4 linked regions of the Drosophila melanogaster genome follow. The protein of the gene in region 4 purifies or fractionates together with the protein of the main gene of each other region. This does not show direct contact. Each region holds a gene or a part of one and is shown on either strand. Other genes may lie near its edges.

Region 1 (4,550 bases), on a different chromosome or scaffold from region 4:
CCACCTGGAGGTTGTAGTTACTGAGTCCGAGGGAAACGTGTAACCTCTGCTTACTTACATTTGCGTTGTCCTGGAGTGCCTTGCACTTAGACTGCTCCGCCGGATCGGTCAGCTCCGCGATGCGTTTGTCCAGTAACTGGGCAGGACAGAGAACAAGAAAAAATGACAATAAATTGCATAATGCCTGCATTACGTGGCACAATACTCACGTTCGTTTGCTCAATCATCAGCTGGAGGTAGGCATCTGCCTCGGAAACACGGCGCGCCACCAACTCCAGGTGGTTGGGTCTTCTGCCGCCTGTTCCGCTCCCGCCCCCTTCCTTCGTGTAGCCACCGGCGATGTAGAAAGCGCTTTGGCTGTCCCACAGACGCGACCGGTTCGCGTGGCGTCGAATGGTGTCCTCCAGGCGGCGCACCCACTGCTCCCGCTCCTCGTTGTGTCGCGCCTGCAAGCGTTTGGAAAGTTGGCAAGTTTAGTGGGCTCCTTTGCTTGTGTATGGGTATTGGAAAAAGTTTTATCGTTACATCAAGGCAACAAAGTCAAACAAAAGGTGGAACGTGAGGACCAGACAGTGGTTTCTGGGTCGATGCCCGGATACCCTTTTCCGGTAAGAGGACGAAAACTCTTGGCAAGCAAAGCGGATAGGCCATCATGCTTGCTTTATATCTTTTGGGACGAAAACGCGAATTGCAAAAAGAAACGTGCTGCCCTCTTGATCTACATAGTTTTTGCTTACGTATACCACTAGACGTCATAAAAAATCAATGCAAGTGTGGAATTTAAAATGAGTTGGTTCTTCAGTTCATAAAACAAACAACGTCGTACTTAAACTATTACGGTGAATTATGAACTATTAGTGAAACTGCAAAACATTGATCAAGCTTTCCTTAGACAATCTTTATTTCCATTTACTAAGGAGACACTTACCTGAAAGTGGAAGGTCTTATGGTCCACAGTGATTGTGAATGTGTTGTCCTCCTGGTCGTCGATTCCGATTAGCGCATCCTTTAAACGAACACAACCGCGCCTCACGCCCTTTATCATCTTATCCTTCGACTGTAACAGAAATGCAGTCGGAATTAGGAAAGTTCATTAAATCGCAGCTCATACTGTCAAAGGGCTATTACGCCTGCTATAAATTAATGTATTCTAATCAATGCTTGGGGAATATAAAAACAGTGTTCGGCGTGCTGTTCACGCTTAAATGTTCGCCAGCGGTCAAGGCGGTAGAGCTGCAGTCCACCAGTCCCACGCCACCTAAAGGATACAGGCCAGCGGAAGCTCAACACAAAGAAGCGAAATGGAGGCGTCAGCAAGTGAGCTCCTCTTGGATTTGTCAAAAAACTGTCTGATGGTTTCAATAAAATTGTAGGTATAAATTTGCAGCCGGTGGTGAACGTTCCTACGATTTATAAGGATCCCTGGTACATGATCACAGTGCTGGTCCTCTATCTGTACTTCGTCACCAAAGCGGGTCCGCAGTAAGTTCACATGCTAATGTCAGCGTCGCTTGTTTGCATGTGGGTCAGTGGACTTGACATTAGCAATTCAGCGGGTTCGCTGGCTTACTTATATAAGAAAGAAGACCTTTAATACCTCGCTTATAGTTTCATGGAATGGCGCAAACCTTACGAGCTCAAGCGACTTATCTTGCTACATAATTTCATCCAGGTGGTTTCCTGCATATATGCTATCAAAGAGGTGGATATTTATAAATTGTACAGCAGCAGCAGCATCGGCTAATTGCTTTTCTCTCGCAGGTCCTGTACATTACGGACAACACCATATACATCTTTTGGAAGTGCCGCGACATCGGGAGCAGCCCAGAGCTCGTGAGGCGGTACTACAACTTGGCCTACTTTCTCTTCTGGCTGAAGATCTCTGAGCTGATTGAAACCGTGATCTTTGTGCTTCGCAAGAAACAAAACCAGGTGTCCAAGCTGCACATCTTTCATCACTTCTCCACGGTAACGCTGGTCTACGCACTGATCAACTTCAACGAAAATGGTAAGCTAGCCGGCTGCTGGGTGACCGACTATTTTCATAAATGCGTTCAATTGTACAGGTTCTGCTGCTTACTTCTGCGTGTTCTTGAATTCTATCGTTCACGTTATCATGTACTCGTACTACTTTGTGGCGGCAGTGGCGGATAAGACCTTGGTGCAGGCCCTAACTCCAGTGAAGAAGTGCATCACAGTGATTCAGATGACGCAGTTCGTTCTTATCCTCACGCAGGTTGCTTTCCAGCTGGTATTGTGCGGCATGCCGCCCTTAGTGCTTCTCTACTTCACCACCGTCATTCTTGGCATGTTCTACGGCTTTTACGACTTCTATAATAGTGCCTATCAAGCCTCGCAGCGGCGCAAGAGTCAGACCCCTCAGTCAGACTCAAAAAAGTAATCTCCTGTCAACAAATCACGCAATAAAGGGGTACCAACAAGTGTGTATGTGTATCCAAATGTATCTATAGCAGATAAGATAAGGCTGCGGGCCATGAGGAGTTCGTTCTGGGTGCGATATGGGTTTCAGTCAGGAGGTGCACTGCAGCCACTCACCGTGTAATAGGACAGCAGTCCAGCATTCTCGTCCAGAACGAAGAAGCGGTACTGCCAGCCCTTCATCACATTCGTCCACTTGCTTAGCGTGCCCTCCAATGTGCCAGAGCCACCACTCCCGCTCTGGGGGGGTCCCAGGCTGGGGGCACTTCCAGTGGTGCTGGCCATTTGATCCAGCTCCCGTGACACGGCCACCGCCTCCTCCTCCGCCTTTGATCCCTCTGCGTCCTCGTGGCTAAAGGCTTTCCTTGTCCCCGGGCGCGGACCTGCCTCGTTCCCTGAGCTCTTTTCTGTCCAGGAGCTGATGATGACGCAATGTTGCTTCACAACTCGCACCCGCAATCTGTCACAGCCTCAACTCCGCTTGGAATTTGCAAAACAAAGCAAAGCCCTGCCAACTATCGATGTACGTAAACATCGATGATTTTCTAGCCCTCCGAATCGCAGCTCGAGTGTGACCGTGCGGCGACCGCTGGAATATACCACCTACTATACCTAGCACACCTTACAAATTTGGAGTCATTTGGAAAATCATAACATGTAAAATTAGCTAGCTATGAAATTATAACCCTGTTTAAATCAGCACAATAAATAAATAAACAATAAACAATAAAGCACAAAAGTATTAACTGGCTTGTAAAATTTTAAGTAAGTTCGAGTTCTCGTAGTGAAAATATTTAGTCGTTCGCTATCGATAAATATTGTCATTTTGCAGCACAGTCACACTGTGATATTCAGCCTAGTTTATTTCGCGGTATTGAAATGTGATGTTTATGATAAACAACAAATAACGTTACTTGCATAGAACAAGTCGTAAGGTTACTGTGAATCTTTTACATCTTAACATTAAATATTGTTTGATTTCAGGAGCAACATGTATCCAGTGTCCTTTGCGGCATTTCAAAAGTTAATCGTTAATTTGTCTGAAATTGCAAGTGAGTTGAAAACTGCCAATGGAGACAATAGAACGTTGGTCGAGTGGAGCAGATGGTACTACAAAGAGTTCTACCGGAATCCCAGCATACGGGCAAGGTTCCCTGTCAAGGTGGCGCCGTGTCCCAGGCGGACACGCGACAACTTGCTTAAAGTACCGGAGCCAGGAGGAATTTCACAAAACGATGTTGCAAACGTAGCAGCTGCAGGACCATCTCAAGTAGAGCAACCCGAAGTCTTAGTTGAAGGCAGCCAGTTGACGACGCTCGCTGAAACCGCGAAGTCCCATGATGCAGTTGAAGGCGTTGCAGTTGAATGTAAACCATCAGGATCGGAATCTCCAGACGTAATTGTTAATGTGGAGAGGTGGGTAATATTATTTTCGAGCAGAGCAGATTAACCAATTTTGACTCATTTCAGATGTGGCGCCTTCATCTTTCCGGTATCCTTTGATGTATTCCTACAGTGCATCAATAAGATGTTACTGTTCAAAAAAATTGTCAGGAGCATAGAACACTGCCTGGTCCTCTTGTCCGACGATGAGCGTCGTCTTCTTACACTACAAAGGTTCTACAACCGCTTTTACATGTATCCAGAAAAGCGATCCCCTACGAATATCTTCAATGCAACTACAGAAATCCCTTTGGAAAAGTTGCTTGAATCTGGGAAACCACTGGACAAAAAAGCGGTCAAGACTGTGGCGGAGCTTACTGCAATGAAATCCCTTACGAAAAAGTAAGTTTGGGACACTTTCCAAATACTCGTTGTTTACTATAAATATTTCACAGTTCCATCGTCAGCTTCGAGGTATTTAAGAAAAATATGGCAAACTTATCGGACATTGTGGAGCAAATGAGGCAACTGGATGCTAATTATGCGAGCAAGGATGTCCAGGAATGTGCCCTTGACTATTACCTGGCGTTTTACATTACTCCGAGGATCCGATATAAATACGCATACAAATTAAAACCTTGCACGTCGACTTTCAAGGCCTGCATGCTGTCCATTCTCGGCAAAGATATTGCCGAAAAGCTTAGGAAAAGCCTCCCTCAGTTAGCTAA
Region 2 (4,362 bases), on a different chromosome or scaffold from region 4:
ATCATACTGTAACATTAAGTTCAACAAACAGGCTGATCGATCGCAGATATGTGCTGGCAGTCATACCAGTAACACCTGTAAGGGCGATTCTGGAGGCCCATTGAGCTCGAAATTTCATTATGGCAACAGGCTTCTGAGTTTCCAGTACGGCTTGGTCAGCTACGGATCCGAAAGGTGCGCGGCTAATGTGGCAGGTGTTTACACCAATGTATCGTACCACAGGGAATGGATATTTAATAAAATGGTTCAATTCAAACCTACAGGTCATACTACCTTTTGGTTATCCAAGCTCGTAGGCCAAACTTGTAACATAACAGACATAATAAGGAATATAGAACTAATGTATAACAGAATTGTATATGAAAATTAATTAATATTCGACAAAATGGCAGGGCAACGCATCGAAGTTCGAAATATATTAAAGTTCAAGAGATTTAATTAAAAAAAAAAAATCTTGTCATTAATTGAAAATAAACGATGTCACATTCAAATCGATTGTAAAAATTGTATTAGTATTTTTTCTGAATAAATCACTTCTTATCTCTGCCGTTTGCCGAAGAACAAGCATAAAAATAGAAACCGATGCCATTCGAATTTAGTCTCTGAACAAGATGCGTCTACCTATACGGCAGCTTGTGATAGTAGCCTGTCTTTTTATTGGGATTATCCGGACGGAATCCGGACGCTTACTGGAAAACGACTGTGGAACCACGAGCAGTAATGGTTATAGAGCGCGAATCGATGGAGGTAGAGATGCTGGCATGGAATCGAATCCCTGGATGGTCAGAGTAATGATTTCGGGAAAAGCAGTGTGTGGCGGTTCACTTATAACTGCTCGTAAGTATTTGGAATTGATAATAAGAAATATATACTCAAATTATCATTGTATGTTCATTTAGGATTTGTTTTGACCGCCGAGCATTGCATTTCCCCAATGTATATGTGAGTGCATACCATACTATTACTACACATTTGATCCTCAAAATGACCTTTTTTAAGGAATGTGCGCCTGGGCGAATACGATACCCGACATCCCATATTCGACTGCGATGATTTTGTCTGCACACCAAGGGCCTACAATGTGGACGTGGATAGGAAAATTGTTCATAGTAATCCAGGATATGATATTGGTCTGTTGCGAATGCAAAGGAGTGTGATATTCTCAAGTAAGTGCATTTCGCTATCAAAAGTTTCTTGGGAACTAAATATGTAACTAACTAAAGTTCGCCATAGACTATGTCAGACCAATCTGCTTGATTCTGGGCAAAACGTTGGGTGGGAACCCACTCTCAATATTACGCTTCAATTTCACCGGATGGGGTACAAATAGTGATGGAGAAGAGCAAGATAGGCTACAGACTGCCACCCTGCAACAATTACCTCAATGGAGTTGTGAAAGACCTGGAAGACCTCTCGATATATCCTATATATGTGCCGGCAGTTATATCAGTGATTCGTGCAAAGGCGATTCGGGAGGTCCTTTGAGCGCAATTCGTACATTTGAGGGGCAGGGAAGGGTCTTCCAGTTCGGTGTCGCTAGCCAAGGACTTCGGTTGTGCAGTGGCTTGGGAATTTACACCAATGTCACACACTTTACGGACTGGATATTGGATGTTATTCAAAACCATTCAGACGACTTTGAATGAGATCAAAATATGTTGCTTAATAACAATATAATGTTTTAGCGTATATATTTTGGCTATCAATATCATAGTTTCTTGTTGGTTTTGGTTTTTTTTTTCAGATTGTAGGCTATTTCTACATTTAACATACATATTCCTTACATGAAACATACATTCGAGCAGAATGTATGGTACGGCCGCATCGATGCCGATAACGATAGGTAGCTTAACGCGTCCTACTATCGATGACAGTTTTGTTATTGTTATGATTTGATCAAGCTAAAAAAAAACCGATCAAATATAAATATATATTTATTGATTTCATTGCGCGATTTAAGCATAACCATTTGAAAATGAGCAAGTTCTCGCTCTTCAATGGCAACGATGAGGACGAGCACGAAACGGAGCAGAAATACGCACACCTTATGAGTGGGTAAGCAGCGTCCTCAGCCGGTTCGATGTTACCAAATCCTTACTTTTCGTAACAGATCTGGGAAATGCGAGTCACTCGGTGTCGGAAAATAGTTCTGGGAAAGCGAGTCGCTGCAAGTGGACCAGCGCAAAGGTGGAGACCTTTCTGGAAATCATTCACCAACTTAAACTGCAAGCTGCTCTTCGAAGGCCGCGAAGCAATGCAAAGGTGTTTCGTATGGTGTCCAGAGAAATGGCCCGGCGGAACTGCCCCAAGAGTCCAAAGCATCTGAGAGTCAAGTTCCATCAGATGCGGCGTCAGTATGCGAGAGCTCGGAATGGCGGCGAACCATTCGAGCACTTTGAGGCGGTGCACGAGTTGATGCAGGGAGAAGATGTATCTGATCTGGATGAAGAGGCGCTAGAGAGTGACAGCGATATGGAGGCCGACGAGGACCAGTCCGGCATGATCTCAGAAACCGAAGGGGACGGTAGGTGCCACCGGGCAGGAATGTATTGGAATACGAACTTAGGCGACTTTCCTTCGCAGATGCTTTGGATGCCTCAGGATCTTCAGTTAACATCGTCGCCCGCTGCAAGTGGGCAGAGGGCGAAGTGGACCTCCTCCTAGACCTGATCCACACACTTGGACTGCGAGCAGCTTTGCTGCAAAAGCGCAATGCCAAGGTCTTCAAGCTGCTGTCCAAGGAGATGGCAAAACGCAACTGCCACAAGGGTGCTGAGAAGCTGCGCATCAAGTTCCAGCAGCTGCGGCGATTGTACAACAAGGTCAAGAACGGCACGGGGAAAACGTTCGAGCATTTTGAGGCGATGCGACTGGTCCTGGATCCCACCGAAGAGGAGGCGGCCGCAGATGCTGAAGCGGAAGCCCATCTGAGCAGCGCAAGCGATAGTGATTTCAATGACAGTGACGAGGAAGAGGGTGATGCATCACAGAGAAGCGGAGGTAGATATTATAATAGCTAGTTCCTATTCCATATTTAATTAAATTCCTATGTTCCTTAGCGCACTTTTGGACAGACGAAGAGGTTGATTCGTTTCTACTCATCATTCGGGACAATGGTTTCTTTCGCGCCTTGGATGGCTCAAGGAAGCGCAACTTCCAGACCCTGGTGCACATTTCCAACATCCTGGCTAAGCAGGACATCAAACGCACGCCACACCAGCTGCGCAATAAACTAAGGCTGCTCTGCAAGCGTCATCGAGAGGCCAAGGAGCACGGGCTAGATAATGTACGCATTCTGCCTCGCCACTTTGAGCTTTTCGATGAACTGATTCAGGCGCCGCGGGAGAACAGAGAAAGTGCCATCAGCAGGCTCATTCGCATCAGCAAGCCTTCCTTTCTCAAGCCGCCAGGCAAACCAAGCGTTCCGCTGGAAAGTGACAGCGACAACTCCAGCTCCACCTGCGATCTCCTAAGAGCGGCAGCCGATAGCGAGGACTACGTGGACGCCATCGAGATGGAGGCTGAACCAACGCCGATTGAAGCACTCACTGCAATCATAGAAGGTCAAAAGCAGCTGCTTGCGCAGATCAAAACTACCAACGAAAGCTTCTTGCGGCAGCAACGCGAGCAGCAGCATCAATTTTTGGAACAAGTATCGGAACTGATGCATCGAGATCGAGAGGAGACCCTGCGCAGGATCAGCGAAATGCTGCAACCGAAGTAATGGAAACATAGAACTCAAGCTTCTAAAACTTTTATTGAATTGAATTCGAAGTTATTGCAAAAAGTTGTCATTATTTATATATATTATATGTATGTATTCTATATTCAATATCGTGTGTGTGTGTGTATCCTGTTTTTGTGACAGTGTCCTGTGTCTAGAATTTATTCCTCATTCATTGTGAACAGAATGTTGGTTTGAAGTTACTCGCAATTCGCAATTGTCTACGATTTATCTAGGGTTTTGTATAAGTATATACGTAATTTTGAGAGATTTTTCGTTTTTTATTTGATATGCTACATTGTTATTTTTTGGGATTAAGTTAACAGTTGGATTCGTTTTAGGTTTTAACATTAAGCGAAAATGCTCGTTAGTTTTTAGTTTTTGTTCTGCTTGTGTCATCTGTATACACATATGTATATATTTTGTATATTGTTCGGTTTACAACAACTAAGCAAGCTCGTCATAAAATATGTGTTGCACTCCAAAAAAAAAAACAATGTAATCAATTGGGCATAGAAAACTAAACTGCTGTTGCTGATCTGAACCGATCTGGCTTGATATATATACGTGTATGTTCGTTACGTTACGCTCAGGCACAAAGTGTAAATTACAAATATCTCTCCGCATCTCGAAAACCA
Region 3 (4,865 bases), on a different chromosome or scaffold from region 4:
CATGCAGTTCAACACCGTGCACAAGCGGGTGGTGTCTGGAAAACAGAAACCTCAATCGCTGGCTTTCAGTATATACAAATTGTGTTGCTTCTTGAACGCTAGCAACGATGAAGAAGGGGCTACGAATAACGAAAAAATTAAGGCAAGATATTTGAATTAATTCAAATTGAAATTGTTAACAAGCATACTTTGCCCGCAGCTTGATTTCTCCAAGAAAAACAAGCTGACTACCGACCTGATAGAGATGTACGCAAACTTTCCGCAGCTATACGACTCCAACCACAAGGAGTTCTCCAATATGAGCTCTCGAAAACAGGCATACGAGAGCATGGCTGCGGAAATCTCAGTGCCCAATGTGGACATCAACAGCGATGACATATTCCGCGCCATCCAGAATCTCCGCCAATGGTACTACAAGAACACTAAGCATGCCATTTATGCCGGAAGTACAGCCGAGAAGTTCTACCTAGAGGTGTGTCGGTTCATGCCTGCAAAGATGTACAAGCAGCGGCTGGTCTGCGAATTTTGCCACCAGATTACGTCCTCGGATCATGTCCTGCAGTCGCACATCTTCAAGGCGCACAACATCGGCGAGCTGCCCTTCAAATGCACCTTGTGCGACCGAAGTTTTGTGGGACGTTGCGAGCTGGCTAATCACATACAGCGGGTCCATATCGGCAAGACCCACAAGTGCACCCATTGTGAGCGTTCATTCGCTGTGATGTCGGACCTGCAGCTGCACATCCGTACGCACACTGGCCACAAGCCTTACGTCTGCGAGCATTGCGGCAAGGCCTTCCGACTGCGGTCCCAAATGACGCTCCACGTCACGGCTATTCACACGAAGATCAGAGCCTTCAAGTGCACCATGTGTCCCAAAGACTTTGTGAAAAAGGTCGACTTATCGGATCACATCAAGGGCCATTTAAACATCCGCGACAAAATCTGCAGTGTGTGCGGTAAGGGATTCACCAGCTGCCATGCACTCATCCGACACCGGCAGATTCACTCCGAGGTGAAGAAGTTTGTGTGCAAACTCTGCGACTCCAGGTTCTCCCAGTTTGTGGGTCTTAATACGCACATGAAGCGCACCCACAACATTCTTCGTAATAATTCACAAAAGGGTAAAGATGCTGTGGATGCAGAGAACTGAATTTGATTAAATTTGCAATAAAATGACAGTTTATAAATAGGCAATCTTTTGCAAATGGGGGGAAATAAAAATACACAAATGAGAGTGAAACAATATGTTTAAACAAATTTATTTATATAACGGTTTAAGAATGTATATTAATAATTAAGAATATAAATTCTACATTATCTGGCCATGTCCATCTGTCGAAATCTGGGGATGTACATCTAAAAGCCTAAACACATTCCCCTGCCTACGCTGCGCTATTTTTTCCAAAATGTTGGCACGCCCACAAGGCGCCGACAACTGTAACGCCCATACATTTGAAAAACGTTTTGGTGTTTTCCTGTTCATATTTGTCTCGCTATTTTCTATCGATATGACAAAAAAAATATAATTTCTCAACAAATAAGCTTGATTGATTTTGATTTTTCCAAATGGTTAGTACTAGAATTTTATAACATTTTTTTTCGAAAATTGAAATGTACTAGTTACTTTAAAGATTCATTCATGAAATGCAGATTTTTAATCATTTTTAAGCACCACCAACAGTTGTTAAAACGTTTTCTTTTAAGCCTTCATAAAATTGTGTTTAAATATTATTTTAAAAATAGATTTTTATCGAATAGTCTATCGATACATAATTATTTCAGTCGTTGTCCAACACAGTCCCAAACGCATAAAAAAATTGTTACCTTAAATAAACGAATATATTTTCAGAAAAGGAACATTTTTCAAGCTGAAGTCAGATCAGAGCGCACAACGTAAGCATGGAGCTGTGCGGCAATGTGATGACCAACTCCAAGTACGAGATGTTCCGGCTGAAATGCCTCTACTGCAGCATAGAGAGCGAGCTGAAGGATTGGGAGCTGTTCATCGTCCATGTGAAATCGGCGCACTACTGCGAAGACGAGGACGTTAGGATTAATGAAATCAAAGAGGATACCGAGGAGCTATACAGCGTCGTTGACGCGGCGGACCCAGCCATCGCCTATGGGCCGGATGAGTTCTTCGAGGTGATCGAAAACAGCAATGGGGTCGATCAATGGATGGAAGCTGATAGCAAGGTAAGACTCTTTCACTCGCTTACCAAGGGTGGTCAAATAAGTGAGCTCTCGTTGACCGCAGGATATCCAGTACGAGGAAGACGCCACCGCTTGGTCTGCAGCTACAAACAATTCCTGGGAGTTCGGTCCAGGCGGCAGCTCTTTGGAACTTCCAGCCGGAAAGGAAGTCACACAAATGGACGAGTCTTCCCAAAATCACATACCCCTAAACACAGACGATGATGATGTTGATTGTAGTGACTTCTTTATGTCTGAGGATGACTTGGCACCTCCTAGAAAACCTGGACGTCCGCCCAGGCGAACAAGACCAGGACAGGTTTTCAAGGTTAGTACGTAGTATATTTCACTTAAGCTGAAATTCATTCCACTTAACGGCGTCATTCAGTTCAAAGTTTCGTTTATTCGGAGCAATCCCCGTGTGCTGCATTTGATCCAAGCGTACAAAGAGCATCCCTGCCTGTGGAACCCTTCCGATGAACACTACCAGGACGAGCCTGCACGAAGCATGGCCTACGAGGCGATAATGGAACGCATGGACCGCAAGGCCAATGTTCTCTTCACCGTGGAAGAACTGAAGAAAACGCTCGAGCAACTGCACGTGCAGTACACGCTGGCTTTGGAGACAAAACAAAGGGGAAAGCTTGTTGGACTTGCAGCGCGTTACTTTGCCAAGTGCGAGTTCCTCAGTGTGGCGCCTGTTGTAACGCCAAGGGAGAACGAGGAGGACAACGACTTGACTGCAATTAAGGTAATAACTAGCCCACTATAATGTAGCTCTTTTCTGACCAAAAATCCTTTTTTCAGCTTAATTTTAAGGAGGAAAACCTGATAACCACCTCATTCATAGAGACCTATGCCAACTATCCCGTGCTGTATAATCAAGCGTTGCCAGACTTTGGCTCAATAGAGATACGTGCAGATGCCTTCAAAAGAATGGCAAAGGAATTCCAGCCAGTGGTGAAGGCCAACGAAACGGACGTTTACATTGCGGTCAACAAGCTGCGCCGTTGGCTTTACGATGCCATTCGTCGCCTCAAATCCAAGGAACTAATTCAGAAGTGCAGCAAGCAAGAGGTTCAGTATCTGCAAATGTGCAGCTTCTTGCCCGCCAAGGGTTCCGAAAGTCAGGTGCTGTACTGTGACTACTGCGATAAACGTTTCCACGGCGACTACAACCTACGGGTGCACATCGTCAAGGCGCACGAGGTGGGCGACCTACCGTACCTCTGCTCGTTCTGCCCGAGGCGCTTCGACCGCCACGTAGACATGGACCGTCACAAGCTGCGTTCCCACTTCGAACGCAAGTTGAAGTGCCAGTACTGCGAAAAATCGTTCGCCGTGGATACCGACCTAAAGGTGCACACACTAATCCACACGGGCGAGCGGCCTCACGTCTGTGACATCTGCGGCAAGACATTCCGGCTCAAGCTACTCCTGGACCACCACGTCAACGGAGTTCACCTGAACATTAGACCCTACAGCTGCAATATGTGCACCAAAACCTTCCGCAAGAAGTTCGAGCTGGCCAACCATATCAAAGGACATCTGAATATCCGTGATAAGAAGTGCGAGTACTGTGATGCTACGTTCTATGACCATTCTTCGCTTTCCAGACATCGCCGCAGCCACAGATCGGAATGAACTCTCGCCTTGAGGGACATTTTTAGAAACTGCTTTATTTTTTGATAACGAGAATCAGTAAGCTTCATTTGATGTAAATCAAGAATAAACTTACGTTAGAGTAGTGATAATAACAAGCGTGTTGTTAAGCACTTACGGCTTTTGTGTATTTGATAAGAACATGTGTATGATAATCATATGCACAAGCTTTTCCTTTTTCATACTTTCCTTTTCAAAATTTGGTTTAAGGAATGTATTATTCATAAAAAAAAGAAGAAGCCGGAAAAATAAGTTCGTTTTAAGATAAATTTGTATAACCGTTACTTGTAGAGGAGATATTAGAATAACATATGATTTTTTGGTTCTGGCTCTAGATCTAGAGCTGGCTTGAGGCTCTCCCGAGTTTTTGTTCAAAAGTCAGAGAGCGGAGAGCTCTAGAGCTAGCAGCTCTATTATTATTATTTTTGATCAAATGACGTGTACAAAATTTTATATATATTCATTTTTAACAATGTATTTATATTTCTTTTATGAAATATATTTTTTTAAATGTATTTTCCTTTTTGCCAAATTTATATTTTTAATTACAATAGTTATAATAACGATTTAAGACTTTATTTAGTTTATTAGCTTAAATAATGATGAAAATAATTTTTATACGGTACAAGATACTGCTCATAGACCCTTGTTGAAGTATGTCGTCAGTGCAATTTTAAATATTTTTAATTATAAGCAAAAATAAATAAGCGGTATTTAATTAATAACAACTCTTCTTAAAAGAATAGTCAAGGCATTAAATTTTAAATAACTCTGTAGTAGATCGTATTGCAACAAGCTTTGACCAAAACTTTAAATATGTATGTATGTACCTTCGTTTCTGAGATCAAAATTGATTTCGAGACGAAAGTTTTCTAGCACAAGTATGCTCATATACACTTTCTCGTTTGTTGTTTTAACACACACAAGGAAGTACATTCTATTTTAAGAAATTTACGCTCTCCATTTTACGCGTGCGGAGTGAGATCAATTTTGGCCGTCACCAAAAA
Region 4 (7,947 bases):
TCTCCACCTTTGCAATAACAATTTTTTATTACCATCTCAGCACTCATCACTCAACGTGACCATGGAGAAGGTGTTAAGGCGATGCAGTCGCCTGCTCCTCCTACTGCTGCTGCCACTTGTCAGCTTGTGTCCAAATGCATTGGCACTCAATCGACAGGCGGATGCTGGCCAGGCTTTGGATATGGCAGCGCAGCTGGCGGATGCGGAAGCCGAAGCCAGGCCGGATTACGATGCCGATTCCCCGGATACGCCGCACATACGCAAGAAGCGACTCATCTGGATTACGGATGATGGCAGATTGGCCCTGCCGCCGGGCACTTCGCTGACATTCGTGCCAACCATTGCCATGCCCCTGGTTCGGCATCCGCCCGAGGGATTCTTCTCCAACCTGACCATCAGTTTTCCCGTCACCAGTGCGTAGACAGCTCTCAATGTCAATGATTAATCAATTAACTCTGATTTTTGTTGCCTCAATCCACAGTTGACTTCGACAAACTGGGCCTGACAGACAACCAAAATCCTCTGGGGGATCTGCCGCCGCTGTTCGCCCGCTCCTTTGGTCACGAGGCAGGCCACATGGTTGGTGAATATGTGGCGAGGTATCTGCATGTCCAGCGCAGGAAGAGGGATCTCAGCGAGCAGCGGAGCAGAAGCAACGAGGATCATCCCTTTAGGATACACGAAGAGGGTCCAAAGTATCCGGAGCTGCCAGCCGGACTGCAGCATATTTTCCATGGCGGAGAGCGGGTTTTGCTCTATGGCGTAGTGGAGGACTTTCTATCCACCTTTGGCATGGATGGCAAGGCCTGTTTGCTGAGAACCATTTGTGAGATGCACTCACGAAGTTTGGAGAAGTTCGGTGTCTTTGGAGAAATGACAAAGCTATTTTTAACGTGAGTAATTTCCTCCTTTCAATCGTGATTCTTTGTTACACAGATCTCTCTTATAGGGTAACCAAATCTCCGTTTTCCGACCTGGTACCCGACTATGTACAAGCCCAGGAGGTGGGCGAGGGAAAGCAAGCACCAGGAGAATGTTTTCCCTACTTCAAGGACTGTCCGAAGAGTATATTTAAGGCCTTGTCCAGCAAGTATAGCAAACCAGCTCCTGCGAGCAAGACGAAAAAGACAAAACCCACAGACAGACCGGTGGGCGAATATCATGAGGAGCAGGTCATTCAACTGCCCACCACTCGGGATCAGGACAACAATGTGTATATGTAGAACAATGACCAACTCCCATGCGAACCCCTATTGTTGACCTCGTCTAGATGTTAGGATTACGATTGAGTTGAGCGCGTCCTCAAAGTCACTTGCTTGTAATTAACGTGTACTAATTAATTTATAATTATTTATTTTATTTACGCATTGTATTTATTGTTAGTCGTAGGCGTTGTTAATTGCTTAGATTTGTATCCATGTTTGTCTAGTGGTCTGTAAATAATTGAAATTGTGGCATAATTCCTTCCTTTCAACAAATGAAAACGTGTCGAATGAATAGAAAATAAATTTCCCTTGAAAGGTGCTTTATAATTGTTTTCATTCAAATAACAACTTACGGCAATAATGGCCAAGATATGTACAACATTGCGTTTTTAGATTTAAACTGGCGCCAAAAACGACAACTGCCTGCATTGCACAGCACTATCAGCAGTTACAAATCAAAGTTTGAAACCAAATTAAAGTGGTTACACTGGCAGCTAGATTTGGGTACTCTCCATGTTTTTGTGAAAGTAATATATGAAGCAAAATAATACTTAACGGTACTTAGTGCTCGGTTTGTAGTTATGTAATTACTTAACTAATTGCTCATTTTAAAGGGAAGATTTAAATTCAAATTTTGTGTATTTATAAGAAGAAGAAAAAGGCACTTCTGACAACTATCGAGAGTAAGACATCGATAGCGTAACGACTTATCGAAGGAACCGTCGGTCGTCAGACCATCTCTAGGTCAGCTTTGTTTTGGTTTTGCAGCGAAAAAAACATCAGCGTCGTGAGTTCTCTTCGCTTATTTACCAAGCCTCCCACAAACAAGCCAGAGCATTACGTGTTGCACAGATGTTTGCGGATCGTCGAGGAAATCAATAAACGAAAGGTGAGTGCTCCTGGGTGGGGGCCAGCTGGCGCTTCAGAACCGCGAAAAGGCGGTGCTGTGAGTCAGGCGATGCGATCGCTGATTGAATTGGATTATCACGATAGGAGCTCCCATCAAATTGCCAGCCGGCATTGTAGTTGTTTACATTGCGCGGACGTGGCGCAATATATTTTTAATCTTCTGCGGCAACCTGCTGATTAAGATACCCCCGAACCGTTTCATTGTATAGATAACTTGGCAGTTGAACTCCGGAGCTGGAAGAGGATGGACACGAACGCTGGGGAGTCGCTGGGAGCATCGCCGCCCTCGAGCAATGAGGCAGCGGCGGGATCACAGTCCCAGAGCGATGCCTCCGAGGAGGAGGAGTATCTGGACAACAGTATCGAACTGAGGGGCTATCTCAGCAAGTGGACGAACTACATCTATGGATGGCAGCCACGCTACATAGTCCTGAAGGATGGTACACTCTCCTACTATAAATCCGAATCGGAGTCGGATTTCGGGTGCCGCGGAGCCATCAGCCTGACCAAGGCCACCATTAAGGTAGGACGGCCGAAAAGAGAGAGGGTGGAGCTCCTTCCCCAAGTGCTTTCAATTGGACTAATAAAAAAGTAATGGGCGTGAGTGTGTGCGCATGTGTTTGCGACACATTAACCAACGATGACCGCGACCTGAGGTCTCCGTTTCCATTCCCAAGCCAATACACCCATTCCCAATCCAATTCCGAGCGACGCAATCAATGCAGCGCAATCAATTAACGTTGGGCGACCAAAATAGACCAAAATTGAAGTCATCAATGTAAGTGGGGTACCCCTCAGACCTAGGCGCTGCTAGAAGGCCTTCTGTTGACAGGAGGGCGTGTTGTTCTAGGAGGGTGTTTCGCCATGAGTGTGTACTTATCTATTTATACTGTAGGAGCTGCCAAAAGCATATACACAATGCTGACTCACTAGAAGCGGCCCTTCCATTCATTCGCCTTGACTTTGCGAACACTGATCTTATTCAAAGATATTGAAGCCTCATTTAGTTCAAAGAATTTTTCCCAACAATCCAAATAATAATTATCACCGATTTAATCGATCATGATTGGATTACTTGGATTACTTTACAGTGAAACCAGCTCACTTGTAGTTTAAGTTACTAATAATTGGATTTATTTGCAAGTGATTCATTTAAAATTTTAATTAATTTTCACAAATTTCTCTTAGTGTTTTGACTCATTCAGGTTCCACTGTAATTTCCATTTGCCAACAATAATCTTGTATTCGGGTGTTTTCCTTGTTGATTTCATGTTTACCACTGATTTGCGTTCCGCTATAATCAACCATTCAAAGTTAATTAGGTTTTTTTTTCGTCGAATTTATTGTATTTCGTTTTAATAACTGGCTTATTACTGGCATGAAATTTTCATTTAAAATATAAGTAAGATAAACCGTTTATTTGTACCTATTTTGTGCCTTTTACTAAGTTCAAGTTTATTTTTCTTTTGTAGGCCCATGAGTCCGACGAGCTCCGATTCGATGTTGTGGTGAACAACTTAAATAACTGGTGCCTGCGGGCAGAGACCAGCGAGGACCGCATGCACTGGGTGGATGTGCTGCAGCTGTACAAGGCGGACTCCGGCAGCACGGACACCACTTCCTTGCGCCGCCATGGCAGTACCATGAGCCTGCAATCGAACACTATCTCGCTGACCAGCGGAGGAAGCCTAAAGAAGACGCAGCGCAACCTGCGCGAAAAAGTCGGCGAGCTGGAGACCTTTAAGGATATACTATTTGGACAGATCGAGACTCTGCAGCGATACTTTGATGCCTGCTCGGAGGTGAACAAAAACAATGCGCAACCACTGGACCTGGGCGACGGTCTGAAGTCCATCGATTTCAAGGTAAAGTAGTGCACTTATCGGGCCATTGGTATATGTACAGTGTACTAAGCAAAACACTCGATTTTCTCAGGGCGAATCCATCACGTTTCGGGCCACAACGTCCGGCGTGCTAACCACCCTGCAGCATTGCCTAGAAATCATCGCCGAGAGCGATGAGTCATGGAAACGGAAACTGGAGCGTGAAATAGATAAGCGTCGACGTTCTGAGGACCAAAGCAAGTAGGTTGACCTAGTCGGAATAGATTCCTACAAGAAGAAGCAATTTCAATTACCTTTTTTGTATTTGCTTGAAAACCATACGTTTCTTTAAAAATTATCATGCTATTTCATGGTTTAATTTATTTAAAAAAGGATTAATAATGTATTTAAATTTAATGTGTACATTCATTTCTGAAGTTTATTCATTTAAACGATATTAAAACTATGGTAAAATTCTATGTTTCTTCTTTGCAGAAAGCTCAAGGATGAAGTTGAGAAAATGAAGCGTCTATCGTATCCTGGCCCAGATTTCGAGGTGAGTTCAAGTTTACAGCTCTCGTAAAAGCAAAAGCGTAATCGCATTCACGGTCATTGCTGCTCAAATCGGGGCCAAACACGTTCCCACTGAAAATGCAAACAATCGCCGAATGAGTGGCGCGAAATTCGTATAAACGATTTGCGTGCGATTTGTCGGCGTCTTAAAATAAACTGCCTGATTCGACGTTGTGTCAGAGATTTCATCATATGCAAGGAAAGTAGAACACGCTGGACTATTATTCAAGCGTTTTCAATTCGATTATGGAATGCCAGTATTTGGTTCCGAATTTTGGCTGACACGAAGTTCCCGTGTTCGTGTTAATCTGGAATTGGTCATGCAATATCGTTTTTCCGCTTACATTTGTTTGCCCAATCAATTCCATTTTAATGGCATATGTCCACAATAGCATTAGAAAAATGATGCTCTCCTACGAATTGTAAGTGCTCAACTTGGTTGTTATTCTTGGCTCGGTTACTTGGCGACTACTCAGGCTGAAAGACTGGGCGTCTAGACGGTTTCATTAGGCCTGTTTGACAGTTGGGCGTAGCTTAAGATCTACTTCGAGCCAATATTGCAGATATTGACGTTGAATAACGATCCAACCGTTGGCTAGAATGCACTTTGTGCAACGGGTATATTAACTATTACGTCTTCAGTGATCTTCATATGAAAATTTTGTTAGAAAATCCCGATTTAAGTGAACAATATATAGTAAACATGTACGTGATCTTTCACTATACGTTCAAGCTTAGAGCATTCAATATGCGGCTCACTTTTTGAGCTGTGGCTTTTAGCCTGGCTTACAGCTGTCAGGTTTATGGCTTATGAGCTAGGCTGGTCAGTCGGCGGTTAGCGATCGAGTGGCCAACACGTAGCAATTATAAACAAATTTGCTAGGCAAACAATTCAAAACGAGACTGTTTCTTTTTCATATTGGTCGTGGCATTTAATTGAGTGTGCAGATTGTGAAATTTCTTGCGTTGCATTGAAAGAGCTATAATAAATAAACAAGTGTACACAATTGTAGCAATCGCTAGTTCATGTTGCAAATATAAAAGCGCCGCACGCATCACTGTACAAATATACAAATTTATAAAATTATAAACAACGTCAACGCTATGCCCTCGGCGCGATTTCTGTGGCGCTCCGGCGGATTTCAGAAGGGCAGCGTTAAAAAAATAAAGGTACACTGAATTAAAATCATAAATAATTTACATAAAGGAGTGGTGGAATATATTTTTATAATATGTGTTTCGTATGGAAATATTTCAAGGCGTATTATCACTTTTATAAACAATAAACGTTTCAATATATCTCCAAATAAAATTTGATAACACTTTTAGTAATTTTGAATTTTTTTTCTATGTGCATATATAGCTGATAAAAAATATTAACAAACATCGTTGTGTTTTTGAAAAATTTCTAATCAGCTATGAATGTGGAATGTCAAATATTTTTTTATTATGATAAAAGTATTAGTTCGGAAGCATTGCTTTGATAAAATAATGGTATTTTTCCTTAGTGTATGAAATGTTGCCTAAAATAAGTTTCATAAAATGTTGATGTTGGTTTTTTCTAACCAAATTGGCCTCATTAGTGGGCCACCCCACTCGCTTTTGAATGTTGAATGTTTGAAGTGCGGTGGCCAAAGAACCCCAAGAATTGATTTATTATTTAAATGCAAGAAATCCTATCCATTGGAGCTTTTTGCTCTGTGCGCTTTTCGCTTTTTACTCTCAGTCGCCCGCTTTCTCCTGCTCTCTTTTTTTGGCCTTCTCTCTGCTCCGCTCATCCTGGCCAAGTTGGCCAGTGCGTTTGGGCCACCAGCAACAGTTTGTTTTGTGTCCTTGTGCTCGACGGAAGGATTCGCCAGGACACAAGTGCGCTCACTTTTCCTGCTTTCGCCTGCCACGCAACCCTTTCTCTCTCTCTCTTTGGCTCTCTTGCGGTGCGATTCCTGATTTTTTCCTGCTGAGAAGGAGCCTAATTTTTGCCGCCCAAAAACCTCTTCGCTTTTGTTGGGTTCAACTGCAACAATTGGTGGAGGAGCCTGGTAAGAGGAGACATAGCGACGCCACAGGAATAAGTACGCATATAGCCCATGTCTTCATTGTTGGTTAGCTGCGAGTGCCGCTTGGTCAAGATGATTATGCACTCGAATTCACGCCGCAGGGTGTATTTATTTCACCGCCTTTGGCTGCGCACATCTCTGCTTTAATTAATAAATATCAATTCAATTCCGCACAAATTCCATTCGAGGCATTTATTTTGCGCCGGTTGCCGTTCTGGGGATACACGCGCCAGTCGCAGACGTCAGAATGTGTACAGTGAACACTGGCTAGCACAGAATGGAGCGGATGTATACCTCTAAAGGGCCGAACTTCAAGGGACACTTTTCCTATATATCAATCCTAATTTCAGCATAATATTCTAAATACTCTCAAAATATTATGATTTTGTTTGTATATTACAGTAGCAATTTGGTAAACTCTGTTGCGAAATTCGAAACACATTGTTAGGAGGAAAAGAATTTTATAAATGGCAAATTTATCAACTTAATTAAATTTCGGCAGTATTATTGTGTAGCTTATTGGTGGTTTTTCCCCACGAGATGCCACTGCTTTAATGGGATTCAGTACCAAGTACCAAGCCCCGTCTGGCGGTCTTCTGCTTTCGTATTCATGGCACAATGATGCGCCTTTGTGTCCATTATGCTCGCCCAATTACGCATGCCAGCCGACTACGAGAATCTCCGCCTGGCGACTGGTCAGGGTATGGAATGGGCGAAAAAACAACAGCATAAATTTGATTTTCTTGGGCCATTTGGCCGCACAAGTGTCGGCGATTAATTTATACAAAGCACGTTCCATTTCTTTCCAATTGGATTGAATGCGGTTTCGTCATTAAAATTAATTAGGCCGAACCTTCAAAGATGCTTTTGGGCTAAACTTGACTTAGTTTGCTCGATGCTAATGGAGATATATGTATAATATGACATTTCCCTTTCAATTTCGCAGGAGGGTCCACATTCCACATTGCCCGAGGATGAGTTCTTCGATGCGGTCGAAACGGGCCTGGACAAAATCGAGGAGGACATGCAGCTGCGCTTCAAGCTTAAGCTGCAGTCCCAGATCTCCCAGACACTGGTCAACGTTCCACACGAGGCGGTGGCCGAGGGCGAGGAGGCGCGCGAGGAGTTCGGCACGGGTGCGGAGGCCACCAGCCATGCCCTGTGGCCGGAGGTAAGACCGGAAATTGCCAATCTGGCCCCCTAACGACCAGCCAATAATTGGATTTATCCCGCAGATCGATCGCGTGTGCAAGGAGCAACTGCATTACGCACGCGAGGGCGTTGGCCAAGACGGCAACGGCTGGCAAATCTTTGCCGACGAGGGGGAGATCAAAATGTACAAACGCGAGGAGGAGGTCAACGGGCTGGTCATGGATCCCT

The links.
Region 1: the proteins of cert (region 4) and CG1513 purify together in Drosophila melanogaster (affinity purification with mass spectrometry, with the first as the bait; one large-scale study listed by BioGRID). This does not show direct contact.
Region 2: the proteins of cert (region 4) and CG10494 purify together in Drosophila melanogaster (affinity purification with mass spectrometry, with the first as the bait; one large-scale study listed by BioGRID). This does not show direct contact.
Region 3: the proteins of cert (region 4) and CG1603 purify together in Drosophila melanogaster (affinity purification with mass spectrometry, with the first as the bait; one large-scale study listed by BioGRID). This does not show direct contact.

Annotation. Positions count from the first base shown.
Region 1 is NT_033778.4:9,888,679-9,893,228, forward strand, and holds the start of CG1513 (uncharacterized protein), read right to left. Parts: upstream 3,012-4,550; 5' UTR 2,725-3,011; coding exon 2,557-2,724; intron 2,464-2,556; exon of another isoform or gene 2,402-2,463; coding exon of another isoform or gene 2,067-2,401; intron 2,009-2,066; coding exon of another isoform or gene 1,762-2,008; intron 1,703-1,761; coding exon of another isoform or gene 1,609-1,702; intron 1,483-1,608; coding exon of another isoform or gene 1,374-1,482; intron 1,318-1,373; coding exon of another isoform or gene 1,302-1,317; exon of another isoform or gene 1,200-1,301; intron 1,058-1,199; coding exon 929-1,057; intron 808-928; exon of another isoform or gene 447-807; coding exon 210-446; exon of another isoform or gene 137-209; coding exon 59-136; exon of another isoform or gene 44-58; coding exon of another isoform or gene 1-43. Other genes in the region: CG12923 (uncharacterized protein), read left to right, coding at 1-43; CG30008 (uncharacterized protein), read left to right, coding at 1,302-1,317, 1,374-1,482, 1,609-1,702, 1,762-2,008, 2,067-2,401; tea (telomere ends associated), read left to right, coding at 3,431-3,855, 3,910-4,224, 4,278-4,550.
Region 2 is NT_033778.4:21,516,619-21,520,980, reverse strand, and holds CG10494 (uncharacterized protein), read left to right. Parts: upstream 1-1,855; 5' UTR 1,856-1,975; coding exon 1,976-2,051; exon of another isoform or gene 2,052-2,055; intron 2,056-2,110; coding exon 2,111-2,524; intron 2,525-2,583; coding exon 2,584-3,000; intron 3,001-3,059; coding exon 3,060-3,724; 3' UTR 3,725-3,826; downstream 3,827-4,362. Other genes in the region: CG30289 (uncharacterized protein), read left to right, coding at 1-370; CG30288 (uncharacterized protein), read left to right, coding at 612-837, 900-942, 1,000-1,166, 1,234-1,646.
Region 3 is NT_033778.4:7,513,302-7,518,166, reverse strand, and holds CG1603 (uncharacterized protein), read left to right. Parts: upstream 1-1,776; 5' UTR 1,777-1,902; coding exon 1,903-2,199; intron 2,200-2,260; coding exon 2,261-2,524; intron 2,525-2,584; coding exon 2,585-2,947; intron 2,948-3,003; coding exon 3,004-3,840; 3' UTR 3,841-4,321; downstream 4,322-4,865. Other genes in the region: CG1602 (uncharacterized protein), read left to right, coding at 1-142, 200-1,153. UniProt on the Drosophila melanogaster protein: Chromatin-binding protein involved in the organization of active promoters and insulators. Essential for the activity of heterochromatin promoters; primarily binds to specific motifs within promoters of housekeeping genes.
Region 4 is NT_037436.4:8,283,860-8,291,806, reverse strand, and holds the start of cert (ceramide transfer protein), read left to right. Parts: upstream 1-1,936; 5' UTR 1,937-2,094; intron 2,095-2,323; 5' UTR 2,324-2,358; coding exon 2,359-2,637; intron 2,638-3,586; coding exon 3,587-3,979; intron 3,980-4,049; coding exon 4,050-4,198; intron 4,199-4,432; coding exon 4,433-4,493; intron 4,494-5,337; exon of another isoform or gene 5,338-5,614; coding exon of another isoform or gene 5,615-5,680; intron 5,681-7,513; coding exon 7,514-7,738; intron 7,739-7,802; coding exon 7,803-7,947. Other genes in the region: CG7201 (uncharacterized protein), read left to right, coding at 62-413, 482-893, 950-1,223.